4 linked regions of the Elephas maximus indicus genome follow. The protein of the gene in region 1 interacts with the protein of each later gene in a biochemical or structural test. Links are inferred from orthologs where the notes say so. Each region holds a gene or a part of one and is shown on either strand. Other genes may lie near its edges.

Evidence for each region.
Region 2: the proteins of ADRB2 (region 1) and MAGI3 form a complex in vitro, tested with the Homo sapiens proteins (2 studies listed by IntAct, with this or other methods). The link is inferred for Elephas maximus indicus from reciprocal best matches to the Homo sapiens genes ADRB2 and MAGI3.
Region 3: the proteins of ADRB2 (region 1) and GRK2 form a complex in vitro, tested with the Homo sapiens proteins (2 studies listed by BioGRID, with this or other methods). The link is inferred for Elephas maximus indicus from reciprocal best matches to the Homo sapiens genes ADRB2 and GRK2.
Region 4: the proteins of ADRB2 (region 1) and GRK6 form a complex in vitro, tested with the Homo sapiens proteins (2 studies listed by BioGRID, with this or other methods). The link is inferred for Elephas maximus indicus from reciprocal best matches to the Homo sapiens genes ADRB2 and GRK6.

The regions. Positions count from the first base shown.
Region 1 is NC_064820.1:163,838,546-163,845,466, reverse strand, and holds the start of ADRB2 (beta-2 adrenergic receptor), read right to left. Parts: upstream 3,010-6,921; 5' UTR 2,782-3,009; coding exon 1,593-2,781; exon of another isoform or gene 912-1,592; intron 1-911. UniProt on the Homo sapiens protein: Beta-adrenergic receptors mediate the catecholamine-induced activation of adenylate cyclase through the action of G proteins. The beta-2-adrenergic receptor binds epinephrine with an approximately 30-fold greater affinity than it does norepinephrine.
Region 2 is NC_064821.1:167,277,069-167,284,723, forward strand, and holds the start of MAGI3 (membrane-associated guanylate kinase, WW and PDZ domain-containing protein 3), read right to left. Parts: upstream 3,007-7,655; 5' UTR 2,874-3,006; coding exon 2,558-2,873; intron 1-2,557.
Region 3 is NC_064825.1:130,315,494-130,323,412, reverse strand, and holds the start of GRK2 (beta-adrenergic receptor kinase 1), read right to left. Parts: upstream 3,013-7,919; 5' UTR 2,785-3,012; coding exon 2,672-2,784; intron 1-2,671. UniProt on the Homo sapiens protein: Specifically phosphorylates the agonist-occupied form of the beta-adrenergic and closely related receptors, probably inducing a desensitization of them. Key regulator of LPAR1 signaling.
Region 4 is NC_064820.1:197,794,810-197,801,901, forward strand, and holds the start of GRK6 (G protein-coupled receptor kinase 6), read left to right. Parts: upstream 1-4,075; 5' UTR 4,076-4,213; coding exon 4,214-4,265; intron 4,266-7,092.

The sequences.
Region 1 (6,921 bases):
AGTTTATACCAGTGGTTCTCAACTAGGAGCAATATCGCCATAGCTCTCAGAGGCTCTGCAAGGTAAAACTGTTGCATTAGACAGAATCTAAAATCTCTTTAGATTTTAAAAGTTTGTACCAGAGATTTTCAACCAAGGGCAATTTCACCCCTAGGAGGCATTTGACAGTGTCTGGAGACATTTTTCATTGTCACAACTGGGTGGGTGGTGTTACTGGCATCTAGTGGGTAGAAGCCAGAGATGCTGTTAAGCATTCAACAATGCACAGGGCAGTCCCCCACAACAAAGAGTTATTTGGTCCAAAATGCTAATAATGCTGACACTGAGAAACGCTGGTTTATATTGAAGTGAGACGGGTCAAAAGAAAAGGAAAAAGGCGACAGAAGGAAGAAGGGCTAAAACCCTGTTTCACGGTCTTGAGGTGTTCATAGCTACATGTTTCCCAGCTTTTCTCTCGGTGACCAGTGCCCTGTTTGCCCTCCCTTGGAATGCTGGGCTCTGTTTGAATAGATTTTTCATAAGAACATCTTCCTTATTTCCTGAAAATGTCAAGCCCTGATGCAGTACAAGGCTCTCCACTATAAGACATGGCAAAGACATAAATATAAGCAGTTCTCAAACAAGCAGAACTGAAAGGGGGGGGGGGGTGGGGGGGTGTGGAGGGACAAAACATATGCCCACAGCTCCATTTCTATGAGTCAGTGTTTCTGATGTAACAACACAGAATCATAACTGGAGGCTGAGCTGAGCTATGCTGAGAGCAGGTAGAACGGATTTGGAACACAAGTGTTAGGAGAGATACAGGTTTGTAGCAGCCGATTTCAAGGCAGGCGAAAGCGTTAAGCAATCAGCACATGTCATTCCTGGATCATTCAGCATTAAGTCACTGAGCAGTTATTACAAATAGTTACCTGTGGTTTCCAGTGGGGGAGGCAACAACACTCCAATCAAGGGGTTTTGGAGAAACAGGTGCAATGAAGTCATGGTCAAACAATTTATTTACTGTAAACTTTAGACTTTGCTCAGGAAAACAACTGAAGCTGCCCCTCAAATCCCTGCCTACAACACCCTGTTTGAGCAAATAAGAGGAGCAGGGAGAGTCCATGTTCACAGCTGAAAGGTCCGAGATACACAAGATCCTCAAGTCCAAGGGTGCAGGAAGGAACATCTCCTTCAGACGTAAATTACCAGCAGCAAAACGCTACCCCTAACACTTGACCAGTGAGGTAGATACACGGAGGAGTCATCAAAACAGCAGACCCAGGTCCTCTGGGACAAAAGCCCTTCAGACATAAACTTAAAAGTTCCATGCAAAGAGGAACTGAACTGTACAAGAAACAAATAATCACTCAAATACGCTTTCTCTTTTTTTTACAGCTTAAAAAAATAAAAAAAAGGGGCAGAAGGATTTCCTTCCTCCTGCACATCTCTATACAATTTTATTCTAAATTTATTACACTCAAGTTAACAAGTCTGTTTAGTGTTCCTTGGGGAGGGAGAAGTCTTAAAAAGTAGAAATACTGCTTACAGCAGTGAGTCATTTGTACTACAATTCCTCCCTTGGGAATCAATGCTATCGTTATGCACAGTACCTTGACAGTTCACAAAGCCTTGAGTGCCTGGAGGGTCCTCACACAGCAGTTCACTTTCTTTCTCCTGCCCCAGGTGATATTCACTCTGCTCCCCTGTGCAGTCACTTTTGGTGTGGCCGTTGTTGGAGCAGCCGTTCCCATAGGCCTTCAGAGAAGACCTACGCAGGCACAGAAGTTCCTGGAAGGCAATCCTAAAATCCGGGCTCCTGCAGTAGATAAGGGGATTGAAAGCAGAATTGGCATAGCCCACCCAGTTAAGGAGGGTGTAAACTTGCTTGGAGATGAGGTTGTCCTGGATCACATGCACAATGTTGACAATGAAGAAGGGCAGCCAGCAGAGGGTGAACGTGCCCATGATGATGCCTAAAGTCTTGAGGGCTTTGTGTTCCTTCAAGCAGAACTTGGACGACCTGCGATGTCCATGCCCACTCCGCCCATCCTGCTCCACCTGGCTGAGGTTTTGAGCATGGAAGCGGCCCTCACATTTGTCAATCTTCTGGAGCTGCCTTTTGGCTACTTGGAAGACCCTGGAGTAGACAAAGACCATGACCACCAGGGGCAAGTAGAAGGACACAACAGAGGAGGCAATGGCATAGGCTTGGTTCGTGAAGAAGTCACAGCAGGTCTCTTCGGCATAGCAGTTGATAGCTTCCGCATGGGTGGCCCGGTACCAGTGCATTTGGATGGGCAAGAAGGAGGTAAGGCCTGACACGATCCACACCATCAAAATGACCACCCGGGCTTTATTCTTGGTCAGCAGGCTCTGGTACTTGAAGGGTGATGTGATGGCAAAATAACGATCCACTGCGATCACACACAGGGTCTCGATGCTGGCAGTGACGCACAACACGTCAATGGAAGTCCAAAACTCGCACCAGAAATTGCCAAAACTCCACATTTTCATGAGGATGTGGCTGGCCCCAAAGGGCACCACCGCCAGGCCCATGACCAAGTCCGCACAGGCCAGCGAGGTGATAAAGTAGTTGGTGACCGTCTGCAGACGCTCAAACTTGGCGATGGCCGTGATGACCAGCACGTTACCAAACACAATGGCCAGGACGATAAGCGACATGACGATGCCCATGCCCACCACCCACGCCTCGTCCCGTTCTTGCGTGACGTTGTGGTGCGGCTCGTGGCTTCCGTTGGGCGCAGGCAAAAAGACGCTGCTGTTCCCGGGTTGCCCCATGGCGCGTAGGCTGGCAGGTGAGCGCACTTGCTGCAGGCGCACTGGTCGCGCCTCAGCTGGCGGACCCCCGGCGGGGCGCTGCGGGCCGCGAGCGGACGCCTGGAAGCCTCATTCAGCGGCCGTGGGGTGGATGCAGTGGGGTGCGTCCCTCACATTCAGCTTTGCGGGGTGCCCTGGGCTCGCTGTGCCCGTCAGTCGCAGCCAGCGCCCTGCAGGAGCCGCCTCTGAGTCCGCCCAGCCCGTTATGTGCACAGGACTTTAGGGGAACTGCCCTCTCCGTGACGTGCGTCAACTTTCCGCCAATGGCGCGCGGGCAGCCCCGAAAGGGCGAGGCCCCCCTCCCTTCCCGCCCCTAGCTCTCCCCCTCCTGGCCTGGCTCGGGCGGGGCTCAGCTGCTACCCTTTAGGCGGGCGGGCCACCACTCCCTGCCGGCTACTCCGGGCTGCACCCAGAATGCTAAAGCTGGGTCCGGCGTGCTTAACAGCCAACCTAGGAGCTTTGGGCTCTCATATGGCTGCTACCTCTCTGTCCCGGGAGCCTGAACGCAATGAGGTCTTAGCGCAGCGGGCAGCACACCGGCAGTCCCCGACGTGCGGAAAAAGAGACTAGAGTGCCCACCGAGACACGCACGTACAGGCACAAATGCACCCCGACAGGCATGCTCAGACTTATACGGAATCACAGCCACAGACACGGAGACACACCCGTCTAGCGCACCAACATGCACACGCGCGCGCGCACACACACAGAAGCAGACAGGCACAATGTCACCTCTGTCCAACACAGAGGCGAGGCCAAAAGCAAACACAGAAGTGCAAAAGCGTGGTCGCACACAGAAAGAAATGAACCCACAGGAACACGCAGAGACATGGAGAGCGACCCAGACACGGTCGTCCCTGTCCCTACTCACAAACCCCCCCACTCAGGCATTTATAAATGCAGCCCCCACCCCTACTTCCACGCTCCCCGCACACAGACACCCAGCATATTCCTTTTTCAAACATTTGGCAAGACCACAGGAGGTGACTTCAGCAGCTGCCGATTTCCTCAGTACACTCGCTGTCAAGTACTTTTGGTGCCCTCCTTGGGAATTTTGTGGGTATTGAGACATAATTTTACTCTTTGGATTTCATTCAAACTGGGGTCTTCACGTATGTACTTGGGGGTGGAAGGAGAAAGTTGTATGCTTTTGTTTTTAATTCTTGGGAATGTGGCATTATTCCCTCATTATCTGTTGGAATGAAAATGTATTGAAAATGGGACCATTTGCATTTCAACATGGACTACTTCAGTAACCTATTGCGAAGAAAAAAAAATCTTTCATTTGCTCTATAATTTATTTGTTTGAACCATATGAAATTGCCAATATTTGGATGTGTTTGACCCACAAAATGGCAATTTCGTATGGCTCAATCTATTTAGAATGTGCTGACATTAAGAACATTTTGAAAGTACAGAAAGCAAAAGATAATTCTTCCTTGTTACAAAAATAAAAATAAAAAGCAGACCAGTCTTAGAACCAAAGTCTTTGTCCACAAAATACTTTGCTTTGGCATCTGGCATATGACTTTACTGTTATGAAAAAATTAATGCCCAGTGTTTGATTTCATACGTATCAGTATGTCTTTAAAAAATGGAAAGTATTTCATGCAATGTAGTCAAACATACTTTGCAGATTACATAATAAAATAACAATGGATAACATTTATGGAACATTTCCTATGAACTATTCATACATTATTCCATTTAATCCTTCCTACAATCCGGGGTACTATTTTTAACTTAATTCACACATGGGCCTTAAAGAGCGAAATAGCTTGCCTAGAGGCACATGGCCAGAGGCAGGATTTTAACCCCGCTTTGTCTGGCTCTAAAGCCATCTTTTATCTTTTCTGCATACCGTATCATTACAGGAACCCTGGTGGCATAGTGGTTAAGAGCTGGGCTGCTAACCAAAAGGTCAGCAGTTCAAATCCACCACCCACTCCTTGGAACCCCTGTGGGGCAGTTGTACCCTGTCCTATAGGGTCACTATGAGTCGGAATCAACTCGATGGCAACAGATTTGGTATCATTACGTGCAGAAAGGAGTGCAAGATAGGGAAGAAGCATTGCAACTAGTATTAGAATACACAGATTCCAGGTCTACCTGTCTTGGAACTTTCTAGCTCAACTTTCCTTTGGATCTCAGCTGCTACCAAAGAGGTCAATAGTTTGAATCCACCAGTTGCCCCTTGGAAACCCTATAGGGCAGTTCTACTCTGTCCTATGGGGTCTCTATGAGTTGGAATCGACTCAACTGCAATGGGTTTGATTTTGATTTGGTTTTCCTTCGGCACATTACAAAGATGAAGCCTAATTTCATCTGCCTCTACAGAGGGAATAAAGTAACTTTTTTCTGTTGTTATTGGATTCAGTGAGAATCAAATGGGTTATAAGTAATATTTATATAAATTATTTCGTTTAGCATATACTGTTAGTCTCCTCTACCAGACAATAATTCAGGACGAAAGTAAGTTGAGTGTTTACTGTAGAAGCAAAGCTCAGAGACAGTATTCAACTTACAAGTTCCCTTTAACTTCTTTCAATAGCAGAAGCTGTTTCTCTAAGACAGATGCCTTAAAAAAAAAAAGCACATTTCCCATATAAGCCACAGATATTAATTAAGGATCTATTATGTTCCTATGGTTTTCAAAACATACCCACCTCATATTTATGTTTTCCACAATTGGCTCTGGTCTGATGCATTTTAGGAAGAGGCAGTGTCTGTTATGTAACAAAGTTTCCTTAAATATACATCTACTCCAAATTGTGGAACTAAACCATTTAAAACCTCCTTCCTGTTTGTGAAACTATGGAATAAATAAGCATATTGTTTAACTTTCACATACAAGAAAAGGAACAAAGAAAACCCTTTTAGAACAAACACTAATCGATCACTTAGATATACACGTAAGTCACTTAAAAATTTAACTGAGTATTTTGGGAAATACGTTTTAAAAACACCACAAACGCTAAATCGAGAAGGGGAAATTGCTTATGTCTACTAAGAAGTTCCAAGCCCTTGCCCACCAGCCTTGCCAACTGGATTATTTCTCTCTCTCTCTGCTGCATCACCAAGCTGGTAGGAATTTCGAGCTGTTGTCTTCTTGCCAAGAGTCTTTTCTCCTGACCTCCTTTTCAAATCATAGGATTAGAAGAAGGTTAGAATTAAAAAAGGGTTTAATAGATCATTTAGCTTATTGCCTTCAGTTTGCAAATAAGGAAACTGAAGGGCAGAAAAGTGAAGTGTCTGGTTCAAAGTGGCAGGGCAAATTAGGAGTCTAGGTCTGCCTCCTGGCCTGGTATGCAGTTACTGCCCGGCGCTACTGTTCCATTTCCCAGCAGAGGAGTCTGACAAGCACTGCTTATTGTTTGTGCTCATGGCCTTAGAGAGTTAATGCTGCAGTTGAGCTGGGAAGTTCTTAGTAGATTAAATGCACCTTTATCTGCTATAAGAAAAAGCAGGCTTTTTTATGGTGATTGATAGTGTCTAATTACATATTTTGTCAATCCCTTAAGAGACTGATTTGTAGCTTCCTGCCTGCCAAACAGGCAAACACATGAACACAGACACACATTTTGACTGACTTAATGAATTATTTAAGAGTAAGGCTCTGTGGTGCCTAGTAGCTTTCCTTAATTGGGCTTCTGCTAGAGAATCAAACCTTAAAGAAAATTATTAGAGTGACTACATTTCTCAATTCTCCCAAGGATGATACATAGCTTCGTTGGAACAATGACCATCTAGGGACATGAGAGAAGTTAAATCATTACACGTAATGGGTATCTTAGGCCATAGTGCTTAATTATCTTGTTGAGAATGTCCTCCCACGAAAGGCTGAATGGATTAGGAAAACTTATCCTGTGTCTTGGTTTAGACAAGGTCCCTCCCATCTTTATGATTCTTTGAGCAGAGAGACGTCTGTAGATTTCTTTCTAAGTGATTATTTTAAAGGTCTGTCTTTAATATTACCTTCCTAAAGAGGTATCTATTAAATGAGATTAAATGCATGTAAAGTGCTTAGCACAGTGCCTTGGAAAAGAGATAGCTATTAGTGTTATCTTGTTTTTGAATCAAAAAATATGCATAGAAAGCATA
Region 2 (7,655 bases), on another chromosome or scaffold:
TTCTAAATGATATGTTACAAATATAGTTTAATAAACAGTCACTAGTCAAGACAAGGGACAGAATGCTAAGTACACTTTATAATACCTTGCTAATTTAAAAATCCATTTATCTCACAAATTTTAGACAAAAGGAAAAAACAATGTGAAGGGCAAGTTCCTTTTTAAATTCTTTTACTCTGTATTTTCAACCTTTTGAAAATTAATCACAACAGTAAAGAATCTTTGTCTTCCCTGGAGATAATACTTACGCTGTTTTTAATCACTCACAAAGTTCTACAAAAAACCTCTTCAAATTCTTAATTTCTAATATTTAAAGTCTTGTGTTTAACCTGCAAAAACCTTGCTATCTTATAATAAATGTTGCTTTTAAGCAAAGCCATTTAAGAAATCCATTTAAATACCTAACATGAGACTATTAAGAAATTAAGACTATGATTTTTTTTAAGCAATTAAAATTTTAAAATTACAACTTGTTTAGAAACACGAGTATTAATTTTGGATGACACAGATGTAGTAGTATCCTTTAGAAATTACTGAAGTGGAATGTATTTTTAAAAAATATATTATTAAAATAAGTATATTTATTATTAATAATTACAAAATGTGCTATACCCATTAATACAAATTATTACTTTTATTTTGACTAAACTTTTAAAATAGGACAGTGTCTTTGGTTGTTAAAAAAGCAAATTTTTTCTACTATAAAAATTTCAACTACATTCTGAGAATAAAATATTTATTCAGCACAGTATTACTGAGCACACTCTAAACCTTTAATCATTTTCCTGAATTTGATATAGAGGTTGAGAAAATGTATAACATGCAGACCAGGCTGATGTTAACAATACATCTTCCCAGTTTTCTAAAAGAATCATAATAATTTGAAAATGCATCAGCTTCCTCATCAACGTATCAACGTTAAGCCTATTTCTGAAAAGAACAGCTATAACCTCATCCATGCCCCAACTAATCAAAACAAAACACAAGGCAATGATGCAGATGTTCTCATTATTCCTTCACTCGTGGGATCTGAACTAAATGGCACCTAGGCTAGTCAATGCTATGTAGATACCACTTTGCATATTACACACAGTGTCTCACTGGCTGAATTATAGCCCCGAAGTCTTTTCATGACCTTTTACATAAGGTTCTATATAAGTCTGAGTTAAGAAAGAATTTTGGAATTCACAAAACTATACAAAAAAGGATGTTTAAAATTTGCCAAAGTTTAAAAACTTAGTAACATTTTAAAAACATAAACCTATGAACTTAAAATGAATATGATAGAGTAGACTACAGTATGAAAATCTTAAGATTGTAGGACCATGTGAGTGTATGTGTAAGTATATCCACAATACACGCACACGTACATTGCACCATAAGCCATCAGTTCTGATTAAGCTCAGGGACTATTAAAGAGATATGTCCAAAGAGAGCTGCTGAAAAAGAAAAAAACGAAACAAAACAACCAACCAAAACAAAAAAAGATAACATACTAAATTCTTCCCTAGGTTTTCCTAGCGTTTTACGGTGAAAGGATGGCCTGATTTCTAATACAAGTCAAAATTCAGCAGCCCATTGTATTTCAATGCACGGTATATTAAGTAGAGCACATTCAGCAAAAATAGTGTGATTTTTAATAACCCTGTAATCATAATTCCCTTCTACAAACATCTTAGATGACAGAAACACATTATACTAATGCTGAAACAACCAACAATGTTGTGGATAACAAAATATGCGAGGACTACTACATACTAACAGATTTCACTGTGTGCAGCCTGATCAACGCTCTGAAACCGTCAAGTATGCCATGAACGTAATGTTCTTTGCAGCAGATTTTACTAGCATAAAAGACACCAGGGAAACATGGGTTCTTTTTTACCCATCCCTTCAACAATATTCTGCAAAATCAAGAGATTTACAAAAGCTTCTACTCAGCTAGGCACCATGGTCTTGTTCAAAACCCAGATTCTATTCAACAGCTCCAAGCAGGAACACACCACTCCGCCACACATCACAGATCGGTACGCAGTCACCTGAGCCACCTGAACTGGTAGAGTTAGGCTGTCAGTTCTGAGATGTTGCTAGTGTGTAAGAAACACCGGAGCGGCTAAGCCCTCCTAGGTACACTAGATGGTTAACCCTGGCACCAAGTGCCTTAATAGTAAGAAGCTTCTCCCCCGTTAGAAGATGCGTAAGACTGTTCCAAAGAAAATGGTACAATCGTGAGGACCTTTTCCACAAAGGAGAGCAGAAAAGAGCTAGCTTTTTCTAGTCAAAAACTCTGCGGTGGGAGACAGAGCTACAAATTTAGGAAACCTAGATTCTGGTCACAATTCTGTGACAGCTTACAGAGCAGCCCTGCCAAGTCAGAGCTCAGTTTCCCTACTGGCAAAAGGGGAATCACCGCCGCCACCCCTCCCCCTCCAAGGAGTCAGGCACACCCTAGAGGTCTAAGATTACCCGGGACGATAAAACTGGGGGAGGTGCCGCCGCTCCCAGGACCCCCACCCTGGCCCCCTGCCCCCCGCGTCAGAAGGCAGGGCCGGTGTACCTGGCTTCACAGTCTTGAGACGGATAGGCTCGCGGAAGTGGCGGATGACAGCCAGGGTATCCCGGTTGGTGAGCCCGCTGACAGGCGTCCCGTTCACCTCCAGCAGCACATCCCCGGGGCTGGGCGCCTTGCCGGAGACGACGAAGCAGGTGCCCCCGCCCGGCTCCTCCCGGAGCCGCCCCAGGTAGGGGAACTCGCCGCGCTCCGCGCCGCCCCGGATCTCTGCGCCCAGGTCGCCCGGGGACCCGGCCCAGGACACCGCGCACTCCTGCACCTTACTGAGCCAGTGCTTCTTCTTCTTCAGGGTCTTCGACATCCCGAACCCCGCTGCACCATGGGGGAGACCCCGCGCGGGCGGCCGGGGCGCCGCTCCGGCCCCTTGTCAGCCTGGGGACCCCAGGCGGCCCGCGCAGCCCGGCGAGGGGGGCCTCGCCGCCCGGCCCCCCGACCGCAGCCCGCTGGGGGCCGGGACGCTCCAAGCCCCGAGGCGCCCCTCCGACGCCTCTCCCGGCTGCGCTCCCCCGGGCTGACCGGGCTCGGCGAGGGCCACCCCGGATTAGGGTGAAGAAAGGAGAAGGGAATTGTCCCCGGGCGGCTCCAGAAGGGGTTTCGGGCGGGGTCACTGCCGACGGCTGGCCCCCGGGCTCCGCGCCCGAGCGGCGGGAAAGGCTGAGGCAAGGGGGCGGGGAGGTGAAGGAGGAAGAGCTGGGACGTGAAAAATCCGTCGGGGACGCGCAGAAGCGCGCGTGGAGCCGTCGCTGGATCGGTCTCGATCGCTGCGGCGCTGGAGAGCGGAGACCAACGCCTGCCCAGGCTGCCAGGAAACTGCCGCTTTCAAACCCGCCGCAACCTCCTCCTCCGCCCTCTCCCCTTCCCCCCGCCCTCGCCCAGCCCTCATCCAGAACCCCGCCCCCTCCCGCCGCGCGGCGCCCGGCGCGCTGCCGTCACAGGCCGAGCGCTTGGGAACGAGCCCCAGCACTCGACTTTCACGTCGGGGATTGGCCCCCGGTGCACAGGGGGCGGGCCCTCACGGAGAACGAGGACCACCGATTGGTCGATGGGAGTGGAGGAGGCGGGTACTAGAATGACTGAAGTTTAGAGAGGGTGGAAAAAAGAAGTTTGGAGAGCGAGGGTGGGCGGGGGACTGGAGTGGACTCCAGGTCGCAGGGCCGGGAGAGGCCCTCCGCACGGTCGCTAGAGCCAAGGGGAAACTCGGATGTGAGGAGCGACCGAACTCCCCGAGGTAGGGGCGTGGCTGGCGAGCCAGGCTGCTTGAGGGCGGAGCCTCGAGCCTGCGCCGGGCGCTGAGAGAAACCCGTTGTATTCTGGTAGGAGGCGACGTGCGGAGTCCGTGCTCCCAGGTGGTGGCACCTCCAGGGTGGTTACCTACGTGATTGTTGTTCATTCAACAAATGTTATTTGTGTGCCATCGATGGCACGGGGTACTGGGTATTGAGACCTGGGCTCCGAAGTCTGGTTGATGGAAAGTAAAATAGAGCCCTGCACCTAACTGCTGTGTGACCTCGGGCAAATTAGGCAACCTCTCTGAGCCGCAGCATTCTTGACTAAAAAATGGAGATAATTATACCTGCCCCTTCAAGTTGCTGCGGAGATTAAATGTGATACATATAAAATATCAGCGTGGTGGCTGGCAGCGGTTAAATGCTTCTTAACATTTGGTAGCTGATAAGAGAATGATGACGGCAATGGCTGTGACTTTGTGTCAGATAGAAATTGTGCTAGATACTGGGGTACCAGAATACCTAAAACAGAGGATCTGCCCTCAAAGACATAACAATATAGTGGGAGAGACTGATAAGTAAGCCGACTGCCTGGAGTGAGGTGGGGGCGAAGGATGGATTAGAAGCTAGCCTGGTAGCCCACTTACCTGGCTGGAGTCATGGCATGCTCCTTGCTTGCTGTTTGACCTTGACCAAATTTCAGCTTCAAGTTTACACATCTGTAAAGGAGCTGAAGGGAGAGCTAATATTGAATAATGAATATCTTAGGTCCCTCCCAGCACTAATTTTTGAGAAACTCCCCTTGACCTTTTTCTCCATCTTGGCTTGACTCAGTCTTTGGGCTCTGTTTGGAATGCCCTTTATCCCATCTCATTTAAAAATCCTTTCCATCCTCACTGCAAATGCTATCTCTTCCACATAGCCGTCTCTGATTTGATCCTCATGTGAAAAGCGTTTTCTTTGAGCTATGATACTTTATTTCACATTGCAGGATGGCACTTATTTAGGTAGACTCCTACCACCTTTTAACAGTAGGGAAAACCCCATTTTTAACTATGAATAACTACACAGAACCTCATCAAATCTCAGATAGACTGGACCAAGCTTCAGCAGCTGCAGTGATTTCATTCACACCATCTTATCAGTCAGGGTCCTGGCAGGAAACAAATGGCACTTTACAAAGATGTGGGCAGGGTGTGGGAAACCACAAGAGAAGCATGGAACGCTGAGGCTACAAGCTCGGAGACCTATAGAGGCAAGAGGAAGAAACAGTTACCAAAACTCAGATACAGAGAGGGCTCCTTGGCATGAGTCCATGACTTTCAGTCAAGGGATGCAGTCAGCCTAAGTAATCACTTATGGAGGAAGCTGGGAGGTTTATATCTCACTCACCTCTCTCCTTCAATCTCCTCCTGCTGGTGCATCCCAATGGCCAAATCCAACCAGAAGCCAGAGGGCAAGGGAGCCCTTTACATAGTCCCCCTCAGTCAGTTTCACAAAGGATACACTGCATCTGGCGGGACAAAGAGGAAATATCCAGCACAGATACAATGTGGATTGTTCAGATTATCCTAATCTGAGACATAGTTGGAATTTTTTTAAATTGTGGTTGGGTTCTGTCCCCCCCCTCCCCCCCCCCACCCAGCTACCACCTACACTAGCAGATTCCTGGATGAAATCTTGATTTTAAAAAATCCATTTCCTTCTGTAATGTTCCTCGGACTTGGGCAGACATGGCTCTAGCAGCATTCTTGTCTGTTTTCTCATTCTTGCCTATTCTGTAATATTTCCGTGGACTCAGGCACGCATGGCTCTAGCAACATGCTTGTCCAATTTCCCACTTTTGCCTTTTTGGATATATGCCGAATAAAACTTTCTTTTTGGTTTACTGGGGGAAAAAAAAAGCTCCGTTGAGTTGATTCCAACTCATAGAGACCCCATAGGACAGAATAGAACTGCCCCACAAGATTTTCAAGGCTGTAAATCTTTACGGAAGCAGATTGTCACATCTTTCTCCCACAGAGTGGCTGGTGGGTTTGAACAAGCTGGCTTTTTGGTTAGCAGCCGAACTCTTAACCACGGAGGCACCAGGGCTCCTTGAAATCTTGATTTAAAAGAATGCAAAAAAACTGTTGCCGTTGAATCGATTCTGACTCATAGCGACCCTGCAGGACAGAGTAGAACTGCCCCATAAGGTTTCCAAGGAGTGGCTGATGGACTTCAACTGCCTACCTTTTGGTTTGCAGTCGTAGCTCTTAACCACTGCACCACCAGATTTTAATAACCTCCACATAATCTATTTTCACTGCAATTCTGGAAAACTTCTTTCCACTGCCTAGATTCTATCATTAGAATGTCATTAGCTACAAGGAACAGAATATCCAACTAAACCAAAAACCAAACCTGCCGTTGAGTCGATTCCGACTCATAGCAACCCTTTAGGGCAGAGTAGAACTGCTCCATAAGGTTTCCAAGGAGCATCTGGCGGATTCAAACTGCTGACCTTTTGGTTAGCAGCCGTAGCACTTAACGGCTACGCCACTAGGGTTTCCAAATATCCAACTAGCAGTAGCTTAAAGCAGAAGGACGTTTATTATGTCTTTAACATGAAGCTCAGATATAGGTTGTCTCAAGGACCTAAGTTCTTTCTGTGTTTGCTCCCTGCCATCTTATGTATGTTGACTTTCTTCACCAGGCTTGTCACCTTTTAGTTGTACCGTGGCTGCCACAGCTCTACACATCACATTCTACGAGGTCATTGTCCAAAGCAGGAAGGGGGGAAAGTGAGTACTGCTCCCATTTTTATGAAGGATAGAAATCTTTCCCAGAACTGCCCCCCAGTAGAATCTTCCTTATTGGCCAGAAAATGATCACATGCCCACTGCAGACCGTCACTGGCAAAAGGAAATGAGATTGCCACAGTTCATTAAATTGATCATGGGTCACCCCCCAAAAAATGGGGGTTCTGTTAGAGAGGAAAAAGGGGGAATGTTGTTGAGTAGTGTCATGGATTGAATTGTGTCATGATTCCCTTGTATGATTGTCTGCCATTTTATCATCTGATGTGATTTCCATGTGTGTTATAAATCCCATCACTATAATGTAATAAGATGGATTAGCAGCAGTTATATTGATGAGGTCTACAAGATTAGTTAGTGTCTTAAGACAATCTCTTTTGAGATATAAAAAAGAGAAACAAGCAGAGAGGCAGGGGGACCTCATACCACCAAGAAAGCAGCGCCGGGAGCAGAGCCTGTCCTTTGGACCTGAGGTTCCTGCGCCAAGATGCTCCCAGACCAAGGGAAGACTGATGATAAGAACCTTCCTCCACAGCTGACAGAGAAAGTCTTCCCCTGAAGCTGGCACCTCGAATTTGGACTTCTAGTCTACTGGTCTGTGAGAAAATAGACTTCTCTTTGTTAAAGCCATCCACTTGTGGTATTTCTGTTATAGCAGCACTAAATGACTAAGACAAGTAGGCACCCAACAGTGCCCCACATGCCTTCACCAAGAATTAAAAGTTATATGGACTCTAAGGCAGAAAACTGCAGTGATTAGGAGCTTGAGCTCTGGAGTCAGAATGCAAATCTCAGTCTATTTACTACCCCTGTAACCTTAGGCAAGTTATTTAACTTCACCTAACCTCAGTTTCCTCATCCACAAAATGGATATGATAATAGCACTTACCTAACTGGATTGTTGTGAGAATTGAATGAAGTTATTTGGGTCAAGCACTTATGTAACATAGGGCCCGATACACAGCGAACACTCAGTAAATTATTATTTTAGTTTGTTCTAATGAAATAGGAATATTTCGATGCGACTAAAAGCATTGCTAATCACCTTTACAATTCTGA
Region 3 (7,919 bases), on another chromosome or scaffold:
ACAGAAGGCAGAGGGGGTCAGGAGTTGGCTGAATGGATGCGGAGACAGAGGGTGGAGAGGAGTGTGCTGTCTCATTGGGGGAGGGTGGCTAGGAGTATATAGCAAGGTGTATATAAAGATTTGTATGAGATACTGACTTGATTTGTAAACTTTCACTTAAAGCACAATCAAATAAATAAACAAACAAACGTGCGCCGAGGTGACAACAGAGGTGTTCGGGGTGGACAGAGAAGCATAGCGGGAAAGCAGCACTGGCCAGAGGTCCAGAGAGCACGGTTCAAATTCCAGCTCTTCTCTGATACCAAGTCTCTCTCCCTCTGAGTCTCAGTTTCTTCAGCTATTAAATGGGGAGAAAACCACCTGATGTGCTTGCTTCCCACCGTCGTGGAAAGGATAAAATGGAGTCAGAGCGCTTTGCAAACTGGGAAGTGCCAGGCAAATGTGAGCTATAGTCACATCGCCGCTGAGGGCCAGGAGACACTGGACCCACTGGCTACAGTGTCATCACACACCTAGGCCTGGACTCCTGGGTGTCGGTGCCCTGCCATCCAGAGCTAGCGCCTCCGGCCACCTCATGGGTGTGGGGGATGTACCCAACATCCTGCTGCCAGATGGTGACCCTATATGAGAAGCCACAGCACCTGGCTCTCAGCCTCCAGCTGCTCCCTTAGCACTGCCTGCCTGGTCTCCACTTAGGAACAGGGCAGCCAGAACACAGCCCTCCGGGATTTCCTGAGCAACTATTCCATGCAAGGCACAGGCCTTGCCAACTTCACAGGTTCTTTTAGAGCCAACTGAGATGACAGATGTCAAAATCAGTAACAACTTGATTATCATTTCCATCCTGATTCCTATCACCACGACGATCACCACCCTGGACGGCCAAGGAGACAGGAAAAGAAGAACGGCTTGTTTCTCAGGGTTCTAACACCTGCACGGCCAACCCAAGGCGGGGCCCCATCATGAGCAATGCATTCTGGGGTTAGATTACCCAAACACAGAGAGTTCCAGAAAGGGCTCCACCTCACACTTCGCAGAACTCCAGCCTGCAGGAGGGTCTTGAGGCCGCGGCCACCGCGAAGAGCCATTGCGAGCCCTCGAGGTTGGCTCCCCCCATTTCCTCTCTCGTGGCTTTGTCATTTCTGAACTCATTTTGTTCTAACTGTCTCAGCTCCCTGGTCAGCCCCCAGCTGACAGTCAGTTCTGGTTCCTGTTTTGAGAAATCTGATAGCAAACGTCTTAGAAAAAAAGGGGCCCTAACGGCCTTTTCAAAGCGCAGGCCCATTTTCCTCTCTCTCCCAAGCTTGGTGTTCAGTCAACGTGAAACCCAGCAAAAGGGCAGGGTGGAGGGCACCATTGGGAGACTCCTGCAGCTCCAGGCTGAGGCAGCTGCGGCCCTGCTCGGGGGCCTCAGGACACCACAGAGCCACAGCCCTCATTTCACGTCATCCACATTTCACAGATGAGAGAACCGAGGCCCAGACATGGGAAGGGACTTGCCCAGAGTCACAGCAGGCCCGCTCCCAGGCATTGGAGGAATGGCTGGGACTGGCCACGTGACATAAGGAATCACGGTGGGCACACAGCCCTCACAGATGCAGCGTGTCCAGGCAGTAGACGGAACGTAGAGCTAGAAGCTAGAATCCCTGAGGTGGTGGCCGGGTTCCACCCTGTGTTATCTGTGTATCAGTGGGCAGGCCACTCACCTCTGGAGCTTCTGTTTCCCCACCTGTTCCACAGGAATGAATCCACACCTGTCCTACCCACCCCACGAGCTGCTAGGAGGCCCGTACAATGGGAAAGCCATAAAGTGCTGGACAGACTGAGCCCTCTGCATACCCTGTATACCTGCAGCTACATCCTGAAAAGTTTTAAACTTTGATACCAAGCATGGTGACATCAGCTGTCTTACAGAGGTGGCAACCCTGGCCCAGCTGCCGCAGGGCTGCTGGAATGTCCCCTGGTCAACAGCACTCAGCAGGGCACACCACACACAGGGCCCACCAGAGAAGGCATGCCAAGGGGAGAGGACACAGTGGGCGGCCCAGCCAGCACCCGAGCACAGCCCACCTGGACACCGTGCACAGATCCCACCGGGCTCCCCCTACACACCTGCCCAAAAAGCACTCCCAGATTCAGCCCCCGGACAGTGGTCCCATGACAGGAGTGGGAAATATCCCCAGGAAGCAGCCCCAAGACTTGTTGCCCCCCACCCCAACCTCCAACAACTGGCAGGGGTGGGGGAGAGGAAGCGGTGCTGGGGGTAGGAGCAGCCCAAGCATGGGCGATAGCTGATAGCTCCGGCCAGGCAAATGACGGCAGGCCGAGGAGACCCCGCGGGGACCAAGGGCTGCTCAGAGGAGTAAGAAGGGGAGAAGGCAGCAGTGTGGGGCTGACAGGGAGGGAGGGAGCCCGGAGTGGGCCACGGGACGCTGGGAGCGCCTGGGAGACAGTTGAGCTGGGAGCCCGGGGGCCCCAGGTTCAGGTGCACGGGGCCTCGGGACCCAGTCGGAGCCGCTCAGGGCTGCTGGCCCGCGAGCAGCGGCGGGGCAGAGGGGGTCCCGAGGGCCAGTGCTGGGGGTCTGGGGCTGCGGGTCGGGGCTCCGGGTCGGGACTCGGGGCACGGGGCTGCGGTGGGGTCGAGGCAGGGGCGCCCCGCGCGCGGCCTCACCTGGGCTCGGGCAGCAGGATCTTCTTGCTGGCGCGCGCGGCCGGCGTGGCCTTGCTCTTCTCCATGGCCATCAGGTAGCTCACGTCGGCCAGCACCGCCTCCAGGTCCGCCATCTTGGCGGCGGCGGCGGCCTCCTCCCGCCGCTCCGCTCCCTCGCTGCTCGGCGCGCTCGGCCGCCCGGCCGCTCCGCTCGGCTCGGCCGCCGCCGCCGCCCGCTCGGCCCCGCGGCCCCGCTCGCCCGCTCACAGGCGGCGCCGCCCCATAGCGCCGGCTCGGCCCGGCCGGCTCGCACTCCGCTCCCGCCGGGACTGCAGTCGGGGCGCCGCCGCCGCCGCCGCCGAAGCCGCCGCCGCCGCCGCCGTCGCCGCCGCCCGCGCCCCGGAGCCGCCGGAGCCACCGCCGCCTCCGGCCCCGCCTGCCGCGCACAGCGCCAGGAGCCGCGAGGGGCCGAGCCGGCGGCGGCGGGGCGCCCCCTGGAGGCTGCGGGCCGCCTGGCCTGACCCCGAGCCAGGCTTGGGACCAGGAGCCCAGACCCCGACCGTGACCTTGGCTCCAGGCCCAAACACCACAAGGGCCTGGGACCGAATGGGACCCCAGACCCAAACCTTGACCACAACCTCAGATCCCAACTCCAGACTGGGCTCCCCAGGCTTGGCTCTGACACTGACCACGACCTCAGACCCAGACTTCAGAACATGATTTCCAGGACTTCAGCCTCAGACCCTGACGGTAGCCCCAGACTCCCTGACCCAGGACTCAGTCCATGACCTGGATAGCAGTCCTGACCCCAGACTCCAAAACAGGAACCCCAGACCCAGACCTTGGGCCAAGACCTCACACACTGACCACAACCTGAGATGACAACCCTGGGCAGCCGACTCCACACCCAGACCTTCACGCTGACCCTAGAGTCCCCAGTAGGACCCCCAGATCCAGACTTTGGACCATGACCGCAATCTGGTTACTGACCCCAACCTTGATTTCAACCCCAGAACCACACCATTACCGTAACCATGATTCCTGGACTTGATGTCAGGGCCCAGACCTGGATTTGAACCATCAAGACCGGACCAAGGTCCAAGACCCAATGCCCGGGACTCTAGACACACAGGACACAGGACATTCAACCCGGACCCAGAACCCTGAACAGGTCACCAGGACCAAGGACCTGGGACTTGACAACTACAGCCAGACTCCAGACTTCTCCCAGCCCCATTCCGGCCTCAGGACCCCCAGACAGGATCAAGGACCCTGCACCCAGCTCCACCCACTCTGGATGAGCCCAGCCCCCTTCCCTGCACCCCATCCCATCCAGAGGCTGCTGTTCATTCAGATGACTCCACAACGTGGGATCAGACAGACAGGGCACAGGGGCTTCAGCACTGCCTGGCAAAGGAAACCCACCACGCTGAGAGCCCACTCCCAGGTAGGGAGGAGCCGTGTGGCTCCAGGTAGCACCACCATCTCAATGTTCCCCTCTTCAGAGCCCCTCTGTCTTTCTCAGGTGACAGGACCCACTCCCAGTCCTGGACATGTGGAGCTCAATCTTCAGGCCAGTTCAGCAATCAGGACCCTCTTGCAAAACAGGGACCCCCTCCCCGGGGACTTCTCAGGGAAGGAGGAGGCCACAGCTACTTTCTCAGATCAGCCCCAGCAGAGCCTAGAACCAGAGCACCTCAGAGAGGGCAAGGTCCCGTTCTCAACGAGTGACACCCCCATGCACCTAGATACCCAAGTCAGGACTCCAGGCATCATTCCTTGATTCACTTCACCATTTTTTTAAATCACCATACCCTCTTATCTGGCCCCCTGAGAATCTCCTTGAAGCTGTTCGTGTCTCAGGATCCCCATGACCACTGCCCTGGTGCAGGCCCTGACCAGACTTGCCTCTCCCAAATCTATATCTAACCAGGTCACCACCTGCTTAGCATCTAGAAGTGGATTTCTAGGCCTTCTGGGGCTGCTGAGGGTCGGGGACCCCAAGGGAAACTGCAGACCCCCACTCCACTTTGTTCAAAGCAGACCAGGTTAAGATGCTTTTGAACCTGCAAGTCAAGGTCTTGGGTGACTGGGCCCTGCTCCCCTTTTCCCCATCCTCTGCACCTGGGGTCCCTCCACCAGCCTACCTATGACTCCTCACCTCCGTGCCTTTGCTGTTTCCTGTGCCTTCTTCCTTGGCTAACTCCTGCTCATCCTTTAAGACCCACCTCCTCCAGGTAGCCTTCCCTGACCCCGTGACCTGAACTGGGTACATCTCTGACTCTGCATTTTTACCACCTGTTGTTGTTGGATGCCTTAGGGTCCATTTCAACTCATAGTGAGCCCATGTGACAGAATAGAAGAGCTCCATAGAATTTTCTAGGCTGTAATTACTACATAAGTAGATCCCCAGATTTTTCTCCCGCAGAGCTGCTGGGTGGGTTTGAACTGCCAACCTTTGGGTTAGCAGTTAAGTGCTTAGCTATTGTACCACCAGGGCTCCTTACTTACTTATGAGAACCAGTTTCCTTGATTTGAAATCATCAATAGCAAGGTGCACCATTTCACGTTTTTGACCATGGGGGTGGGCTTTATCAAATGTTTGCATCAAGTGGAAAATGCATCGTGATGTTGGGAATGCTCAGTTCAAAAAAAAAAGGAGACACTGCATCTCCCGTGGTACCGAGGCTCCAGGTTTATCTCTTGCCCCCGGTGTCTGGCACAGGGCCCAGCACAGGGACTGACACAGACAGGACATTTGTCAGTATCTGATGAATAAATGAGCTCCCTACCCAAGGTGTCGTGTGGAATTGGGGGCAGAACAGGGCCAGGGGCACACCAGGAAACCACAACAGGAGGCCCTGAACCCTCTCCCTGACCCCAGCCCCGAATCATGAGGACTGTGAGTACAGCCGTGTGCTGGCCTGGGTTTTCTGGGACAGGCTCCGTTTAGGAAATTCTTCCTGAGGAACTTATCAGACCAGGGGCTGCACGTGGGTTCTGGGAGGCAGCCCTGCCTTCCTCCACCACTTGAGAACCCAGATGGCCCCTCCTGCCTGCCCACAGCTCAACCCACATCCCGGGCTAGGCCGGAAGCCCTCGAGGGAGCCTGTCTCCTGGGTGCCCCTCAGTGAGTCCAGGGGCCCAGGAAAGTGGGTTCTGGAAGCCCGGGTTAGGAATAAAGTGGTGCCAGTACCTGACCCCAGGGAGGCTGATTTTTGGGATGGTGCTGCCCTCTGGTGGTATGGGAAGGCCGGTTGCTAAGCTTGCCTTATCTCACAGGCTTCAGGCATTCCTTCTCTCAACAAACCTCGCTGGTGCCCAGAAAGTGCCAGGCTTTAGCTGGGATGCTGGGAGTGCAAAGAGGAAAGGAACCCCAACTCCACCCAGCTGGCAGACTCGTAGACACATGGTTACTTGGTATCTGCACCGATGACTAATGAAGTTTTGCAAACTTAACACATCCCACACGGGGCTCTGACTCCCGCTGCCCAGCTCTTGCCTAGCCTGTTCCTCCTGCCTCCGCATCTCAGTCATGGCTCCTTCACCTTCCAGAAACTCTGGAGTCATCCCAATTTCACGGTTCCTTCATCTCCCGCTTCACCTCACATACACGCACGCTGTCAGCCAGCCTGTCCTGTCGGCTACCTGGTGTGTCTGTCTCTAAAATATACCCTGAATCCTTCCACTGTGGCCTGTGAAACCCGGGCCTGAGTCCCCATCACCTCCCTCCTAGATGCCCACACCTGCTCCTGAGGTCTCCCTCTTGTCCTCGAGCCCATCCGTCCACTCCCCCAGCAGTCAGCCAGAGTTTTCACAGACCACAGTCAGACCTGCCTCCAATAGCTGCTCCCCGCATGTAGGGTAAAGCCCACCCTCCTTTCTGGGACCTGTAAAAGCTGTGTGGCCTGGCCCCTGGCCACTGCTTTAACTCCTTCCCCCTTCCTCTTGTTCCTTGGTGTCTGACCTCCCTGGTCTTTCTGTCGCTAGGACAAGCCGAGCTCAGGTTCACCTCTGGGGCCTTGCCTCTATGGCTCCCCATGCCCAAACACCTTTTCCCCCACTTCCGGCATGGTGGGCCCCTGCTCAAAGCTCTCCCTTGGAACTTCTCTCTGTGGTGGTCACCATGGCACCTTTCATACCCAGCATGGCCCCTGGCACAAAACTGGGGCCACAGAGAGAACAGGACTCAGTGTCAGCCCAGTCCAGTGGGGAAGAAGATCCTTAAACGCACACCTCCAATTAACCAGGCAAGAGCTATAATACAGGTAGGTGGGACACTCAGGGGAAAAGTGTGGTCAGCTGGAGGGTCAGGGAAGGCCTGAGCGAGGTCTTGACTGTGTGTGCACAGATGAGGTCTGGGATGAGGACCAGCACACACCAAGGTCCAGGAGGGGGTGTTCCCGCCTGCTGGAGCCTCATGTCTGTCTCTCCATCCCTGTCCTGGGCTTTGAAGATCTGGGAGGGTGAGCTTGGGGGTGTGCCTGTGAGCCTTGGCTTGTCATCTCTAGAAGGAAGTGTCTGCCTCCGGAGGGCGGGGTGTATGTGTGACATGCAATGGTGTGTACGCAGAGAGGCTGGGTAGAGCAGTGGATAGGGCCCACTCTGGAGCCAGAGTCTAGGTGTTACTAACCAACTCACTTTGGGCAAATTATTTGACGTCCATAACTCTCTTTCTCCTCTGTAAAATGAGGGTGCGCAGGGTGAATCACCACCTCACAGGCTCACTCATTCATTCGACCGTATTTGTTGAGCACCGACTACATGGCAGGCCACTGTGCTTGGTGCTGGGGATCCAATCTGGGCAGAGTTGGACAGTGAACTAACTTGTGGACAAACTACACATAATAGTAATAACCACTGACATTTATCAGGAGCCTGGGTAATCTCACTGAGTGCTGGAAACACCCCTATAAGGCAGTGACAAGTTACTATGAGCAGGCACCTCCGCCCACAGGGAAGTCAGGGAAGCCTCGAGGAGGGCGTTTCTGCCAGAACCAGAAGGATGGAAGGGAAGAGGCTGTTGGGGCAGGACCAAGAGCTTTGCAGGCATGTGGAACAGCAAGTGCGGAGACCCTGAGGGAGGGGAGGGCCCTGGTTATCTAGGGGGCTCCCCCGCATTGCCAGGACGCCGTCCTTTGCGCTGCCCAGGGACTTTCAGCGGCCCCTTAACCCCTCAGGCGCCACTCGCATCGGGCTTCGAAGGCCGTAGCTCCGCCCGAGCGCTGTCCTGGAACAGCGCCTCTCCCCGGAACTTTCCGGAAGATCG
Region 4 (7,092 bases), about 34 Mb from region 1:
CCCCCGCCCCAAATCATTTATAGTGTGGCCACATGGTTTTCTTTGACCAGTGACACGAGAGCAGAAGTGAGTTGTGTCACTTTCAGGTGCAAGCTTTAAAGGGCTGTTATACAACTTACCACATTTCCTTTTACTCTCTCTGCCCTCACAGAAGCACAAGTTGAGATAGAGCCCCTGTCACCCTGGATCCCTGAGTGATTACCATGAGTAGAGTCCCTGTCACCTCCCAGCAACCTGGGTTAGACCTGTGGTATACATGAGAAATAAACTTTTGTTGTTTTAAGTCACTGAAATTTGGGGATTGTTACTGCAGGATAATTTAGCCTACCTTATCCTGACCCTTTTACACAAATGGTAGCAAAGCTTATACCTGGTTTGTACCTTGCTTTTTTTCATTTAACAATATATCTTGGAGATCATTTATATCAGTACTGAAGAGCTCCCTCCCAACTCTTTTTTTGTTTAAAAACCAAACCAAAAAATTCAACCCCGTTGCCATGGAGTTGATTCTGACCCGTGGATACCCCATGTGTGTCACAGTAGAACTGTGGTTCGTAAGGTTTTCCAGGGCTAATTTTTTTTCCGGAAGTAGATCACCAGGCCCTTCTTCTGAGATGCCTGTGGGTAGACTCCACCCATCAACCTTTTGTTTATGCCACTCAGGGACTCCCTTTTTTAAAAACAGCTGCATAGTATTCCTGTGTAAGAAAGGAACAAATTTTATTACCCAGTCCCTACTAAGGAAGATTTGTATATTCTACCTTTTCAGACAATGCTGCAATGAATAACCTTGAACGTTTCTCATTTTACCTGGAAGCAACTATATTTGTAGGACAAATTTCTACAAGTGCATATCTCAGATGGTTGGTGGCTGATTTCTTTTTTAAAAAAGATCACTTTGGCAGTGGGTGGAGAACGGTTTGAAGAGTCAGACCTGAGAGTTATGCAGGACACCTTCCCCTTGTCACCCCAGATCAATGGCCATGTCCTGCTCGTTCCAGTTCCATGATAGCTCTCACCCTGTCCAGGTGAAAGCACAGCCTGGCCACTACCCCAGCAAGGGCAGTACCATTCCCCTCTCTGACAGTTCCTCATAAAACATCTGCCTGTCTTAGTCAGGATGCTTGGTTGCAAACAACGAAGCTAGTTCTGGGTCACTTAGGCCAACAAAGAACAGATCAGACAGCTCCTGGGATGCTTGCTGAACTCCCTTCCGTCAGAAGGGCCTGAAAACCCTGGTGGCATAGTAGTTAAGTGCTACGGCTGCTAACCAAAGAGTTAGCAGTTCAAATTCACCAGGCGCTCCTCAGAAACTCTACAGGATGGTTCTACTCTATCCTATAGGGTCACTATGAGTTGGAATCAACTAGATGACTTTTTTTTTGTTTCTTTTTAGGAAAGACCTGGCTTTGATTAGCCAATTTGACTGTCTTCCAATCTACTGCCTCCACAGTGAATTCTAAATGGTGCCCTCCATGTCTCGTGTTGATCACTTGCTCTGTATTCAAAGACCTGGTTGGAAACACTGGAAATGTGCTCCAGCTACCAGAGACCTGGGAGAGGAAATACTGCCGCCCCTCTGGGATTGCTCTGGTGGAAGGCAGAGGCCTCTGCATCTTGTAGGAATCCAACTAAATGGGAGGGGTATTCAGATGCAGTGACAAAACAACGGGTATCCACAAGTGGGCCTCGGCCCCTCTTTCCCCCCTACCCGTTGCCCTAGCCTGTCCTCCATAGTGCACCACAGAGCCCACCGTCCAAGCAAATCGGACCATACTACTCTCCAGCTTAAAAGCCCCTCCATGGCCCTCCACTACCCTCAGAATGAAGCCTTAACTGCTTGCCTGGCTTCCAAGGACCTCCCTGATCCAGACTCCTCCTAAGGCCTCAGCCTCATTTCTCGACCCCAACTTGCACCTTAAAATCTAGCCTGATGCTCTGCCCTTACCTCCTTCCTCTATGGGTCTTTGCCCAGAAGGCCCTTTCCCTCCAGCTCCAGGAATCTCTGAAACCAGCACATTCCCACTTAACTGTCAGGTCTCACCTTGAGATACAACAACCTTCACTGACCCTCACCCCCACCTCAAGTTCTTTGTTCCACTGGCCACTGGGTTTCCCTCTTTCAAGATATTTATCTTTACTCCCAAATGTTCCTAGACCCACCCACTTTTCTCCATCTTCACTGCCACCACCTTAGTCCCAGCCAAGGTCATCTTTCTCCTGGAATTCTTCTGTAGCCTCCCAACTGCTCTTTTGGCTAACACTCTTGGCCCCCTAAAGGTCCACCAGCCAAAGCAACCTTTTAAAAGTAGAAATCATCCTTTCAAAGGCTTCACGTTTCATTTAGGGGAAAAAACAAAAAACAAAATAAAACGACTCCTTGTTATGGTCTACAAGGAGTCCCTAGATGATGCAAACAGTTAATGCACTCAGTTGCTAACTAAAAGGTTAGTGGCTTGAGCCCACCCAAAGGTGCCTAGGAAGAAAGGCCTGGCAATCTACTTCTAAAAAATCAGCCAAGGAAAACCCTAAGGAGCACAGTTCTACTCTCACACACGTGGGGTCGCCATGAGTCAGAACTGACTCGTAAGCAATTGGTTTGTTTTTTGGGGGGGTTGCGGTTTATAGCCTACAAAGCATTCCATTATCTCGTGCCCTTGCACCTTGTTTCTCATTGTATCACTCAACCTTAAAGCTACACAGGCCTTCTTCCTGTTCACTGAATGCACCAAACTTATCCTAGGCTTTGAGCCTTGCACTTGCTGTTTCCTCTGCCTGGAACTCTGTTTCCCTAGAATTTTGCATGATTGGGTCCTTTCCATCATTCAGGTCTCTGCTCAAATGTCACACTCTGAGCCCATTCTCACTCACTCTTTATTTCATTGTATTAGTAGTACTTATCACTGTCTGAAGCCATCTCCTTTATTTAGCTACAGGATTATTATCTTTACCCATCCCCCTCGCCCCACCCCCGCTTCTAGCGAGCATGCAGGCAGCCTGGCTATCTTGCGGACACCACTGTAATTCCAGCACCTGGCTTGGTGCCTGACACGAAGTGAGTGCTCTGTAGGTATTTCAGGATAAATGAATGAACAAGGCGCAGAGAAGCCTGGCTCTGCCTTACTCGCGGAGTTTGGGTAAGCCTCTGTTTCCTGCTTTGTAAAGTTGGGGTGGAGAGAATGGGCTGAGCAAGAAGGTGTTGACTAGCTGTAAAATTTCGGCCTTGTTTTCCTCCTAGTCTTCAGCTTCGAGCCAGCCTCCGGTGCCTCAGATCCCCACCTGTATAATGGGCGTGAGTTCTCCTAACGTCTAGGCGTGATAGTGCAGCCTTATAAGGCAGGAGAGGCCAAGGGCAGGCGAGGCCGTGTGGGTGGGGAGAAATCACAACATCCGGCTGTGGGGGCGGGGCGGGGGTGCCGAGGCGTTCCGGCTGGAGGCCCGGGAGCCTCTGGAGAGCCGGGGAGGCTCTGGGGGGTCCGCCGGTCTCCAGGGGGACGCTCCTCGCTCCCGATGCGCGCCCTCCAGGATGGGCCGACCCAAAGCAATACGGCTTGCAGGAGAGCGGGATATACACCGCATCTCCAACAAACCCCTAGAAAAGCGGTAGATGCACCAGAGCCGCCCGGGCCACCCCCACATGGCCACACCCCCAACGATAGCCCAATCAGAATGTATTCCTGAGAATGGCTGACGCTTCCTTTATCCAATCAACCATTTGGCCTCCTGGGCGTGACCCAGAGGACACCGCCTCCGTTTTGTCCCCCGCTGAGAGGAGCCGCTAGCCCCTAATTGGCAGCACTGTATCCTACGAAGGCCCAGAAATTCGAACCTAGGGGCTGAAACCCGCCCTCAGACCAACCAGGGAGAGGTGACGTAATTAATCCCACCCCCGTTGCGCCTTTGAGCGAATCCCTGACTTGGGGGGCGGGGAATGATGAAAAGGCAACCCAATGGGAAAACGGCGCGGGGACCACCGGCTCGCTTATTGGCAAAGTAAAGTAAACAGAGGCGGAGCGGGGCGGGCCGGCGCCGGGGTGGCTCCCGGGAGGGGGCGGAGAGTGCGCGGCGGGCGGCGGCGGCCGGGGAGGCCGGGGAGGCCGCGGCGCGGTCACTGCGAGCCGAGCCGAGCCGCGCCGATCGCCATCCGGCCCCGGCTCCAGTGCGCGATCCCGGCCGGCTGCGCGGCCCGGCGGGCCCCGCGGCGCCGCAGCCCATGGAGCTCGAGAACATCGTAGCAAACACGGTGCTACTCAAGGCCCGGGAAGGTGAGCGACCGGGCGATCCGACGGGCCAGGGTGCAGGGAGCGGCGGGCACTCGGCCTCCCAGCTCCGCGGTGCGCTCCAGCCAAACGGCCCCCTAGAGCAGCGGGCTCAGCGGCCCGCATCCCGCGCCCGGCGCCCCGCGCAGAGACAAGCCCTTCCGGCCGGTCGTACTCCTCCGCACCTGCCCCGGGATCCGGGGCCCAGGAAGGGGCGGGGGTCAGGCCGCCGCCCTCGAGGCGGGGCGGGGGGGCAGGGGGTGAGGGAAGGAGAGAGGAAGGAAGTGGGGAGGGTGGGACCCGACCCTTCGAGCCCTCTCCCAGATGAGAGGTGTGAAGATGACCTAGGGAGGGGAGCCCACACGTGCTCGGCCCAGTCCCGGGCGCCCGCCCAGCCTGAACCAGCCCAAAGTTGGTGCTGGGGAAAGGCTTGGAGAATGAATGAAAGCAGCCTGTGCTTAGCACAGCCCACTCCAGTTGGGGAAACTCCTGGTCATATATGCTGCCAACACGACTGCAACTTGCCGGGTACCTCAGTACGTGGGACAGAGGTGAATGGGACAAACAGGCACAGAAATAAGTGGGAAGTGGGCTTTGAAGGAAGAGAGCATGTAGGGTGGGCTGCACTGGACCTGCCAAGGTGGGAGCCAGTCTGGTGAGCCCAGTGTGTGTACTGAGCCCCTCGTGGCTCCCTACCCCAGCTGTTTTCAGTCACCTGCTCTGTGAAGGTTCTAGCCGACAAGGACCATCAGGCCTGGTCCTCACTGTCCTGTAGTCAGTCTGCTGCTTCCCTGCCATAGCCCACCTAGTAACAATCACCAAGCACCCACTTTGTGCCCTGCCCTGTCCAGGGTACTGAGGGCCCAGCAGTGAGCAAGACCCTTTTTTTGAAACTCCAGGGTGGACAGTCATGACAGCTTGTCCACAGTTTGCTGGGCGTCCAGGTTTTAAGAGTCATCTGCTCCACATTTCTTCCCCATTTTGCAATGGGCAACTGAGGCTCAGACCAGGGACTAGCCCTGTGTTACCCAGAGGGTCCATGGCTGACCCAGTCCTAGGCACAGAATGTCCCCAACACAGTCTGTAGGAAGCCCAGAGGGACGCCCAACTCGGTGCAGCCTCTGGTCCTCCGGCTCACCCAAGTTCGTGGATCTCTGGGGTGTGCTGCCTGGAAATGGGCATAGGAGGCTGGGTCCTCAGTGCCCAGAGCCCCGCTTATCTCCTGTCCCTTATCAAGCCCTGGGGCTAGGCCTTCCTCCCAGCCTCTGGGGGCATCTGCCGATTCTGTTCTGCCTTGTCATCCAGCTAGCCAGGGAGGAGGGGTGGGGAGAGCTGGGCCAGACCTGAAGGGCTCTAGCCATTCAGGCCTCAGGCCTGCTGAGGGCACTGCCTTGCCTGGCTAGAGAGTGTGGGCGTCATTGGACAGGCTTCATCAGGCTGCGGGTAAGGCACGGGGTTTATGGCCCTGCCAGAGACTGGTACATCCACTGAGAACACTTACCAGACCTCGCTGTGCCCCTTCCCAGCTATATGGCTTTAGACAAGTCTTTCTGATCTTCAGTATCTCTTTGTAGAATGGTTGGGAGTGGGACATGAAGATTAAAGGAAATCCTGATTGTCACCAAGTCCTGAACCCTGCCCATGGAATACTGGTGCTGATTTTATTTACCAAAACAAAACAAAAATCCCACTGTAACCAAATAAATAAATAAATCATGTCAGAGAGCCAGATCTGGCCAGGGGCCACCAGGTTGAAATGGTGGCTGCATCGGAATCACCCATGAGCTGGCTAACAGCTTGGGGCCAGGGCCTTTACCAGCTTCCCAAGCGATCCAGAGACCGGAAAGTGGTTTGGGAATCCTTGGAGTATGTATACTGTTGGCACCTAATAGATGCCCAGCATGTTTGGGGGGGCAGGGGAGGAGTTTGGGCTGTAGCTTTCTGGGGAGCTAGATTCAAATCCTGTCTCTGTCACTTCCAGCCTCTGTGATCTTGAGCAGATGGATTCCTCACTTCAGGGTCTCATTTTCTCATGACCTTGAGCCCAAATGGGCAGAGTTGCTGAAGGGGGGCAGCACTGGGGTGTGTGTCCTTGCTCAGTCCTTCTTCCTTTCCCAGGCACCCAGAGGTACAGGGAGAGGGCTGAGTAGGTGGGGTGGGGAGCCCCACTGACTTGATGGCAGCTCCAGGACAGGGTATTTGCATGTGACTCTTGGCTGCTGCCTTGATGTGGCTGGGAGGAGGGGGAGGAGGAAGTAACTGGTGGGGGGAGGCAGGCAGATGGAGGGCTGGGTGAGGGACCTGCGGGGGTGGGGAGGAGTTCCCCTTCTGGAGAGGCCTTGCCCATGGTGAGGGGGGGAGTTTGTTGCTCACTCACAGTGAAGCAATGGCTGCAGCGTATGCCGGGTGCAGCAGGCTGCAGGAGAGCCACTCACAGGTTTCCCAATGGGTGCCCTGCAAGACTTCCTCCTCCAGGAAGCCCAGGGAGGGACCCAGCCCTACCCCCTCCCCCACACCACCTGCCTTCACCTAGGCCAGATGGGAAGCCAGCTGGCAAGAACAGAGAGGAAACTGAGGCCAGGCAAGGGAATGTGCTTGCCTGAGGTTGCCCCTTAGTTGGTGGAGCTAGGCCAGCCTCTTGCCATGGCCCTAGTGGCTGCTGGACACAGAATCTCCAGTTTTGTCCTCACCACCTCTGGAGGTAGATTTGGACCCAAAGTACACACGGATAAATCCAGGTTCATAGAGGGTAAGAGATGGGTCTAAAGAGTGAATTGGAGACTCAAACCCAGGTCTGTGAGACAAGGCTCAGGCCCTTCCACCATCTCAACCT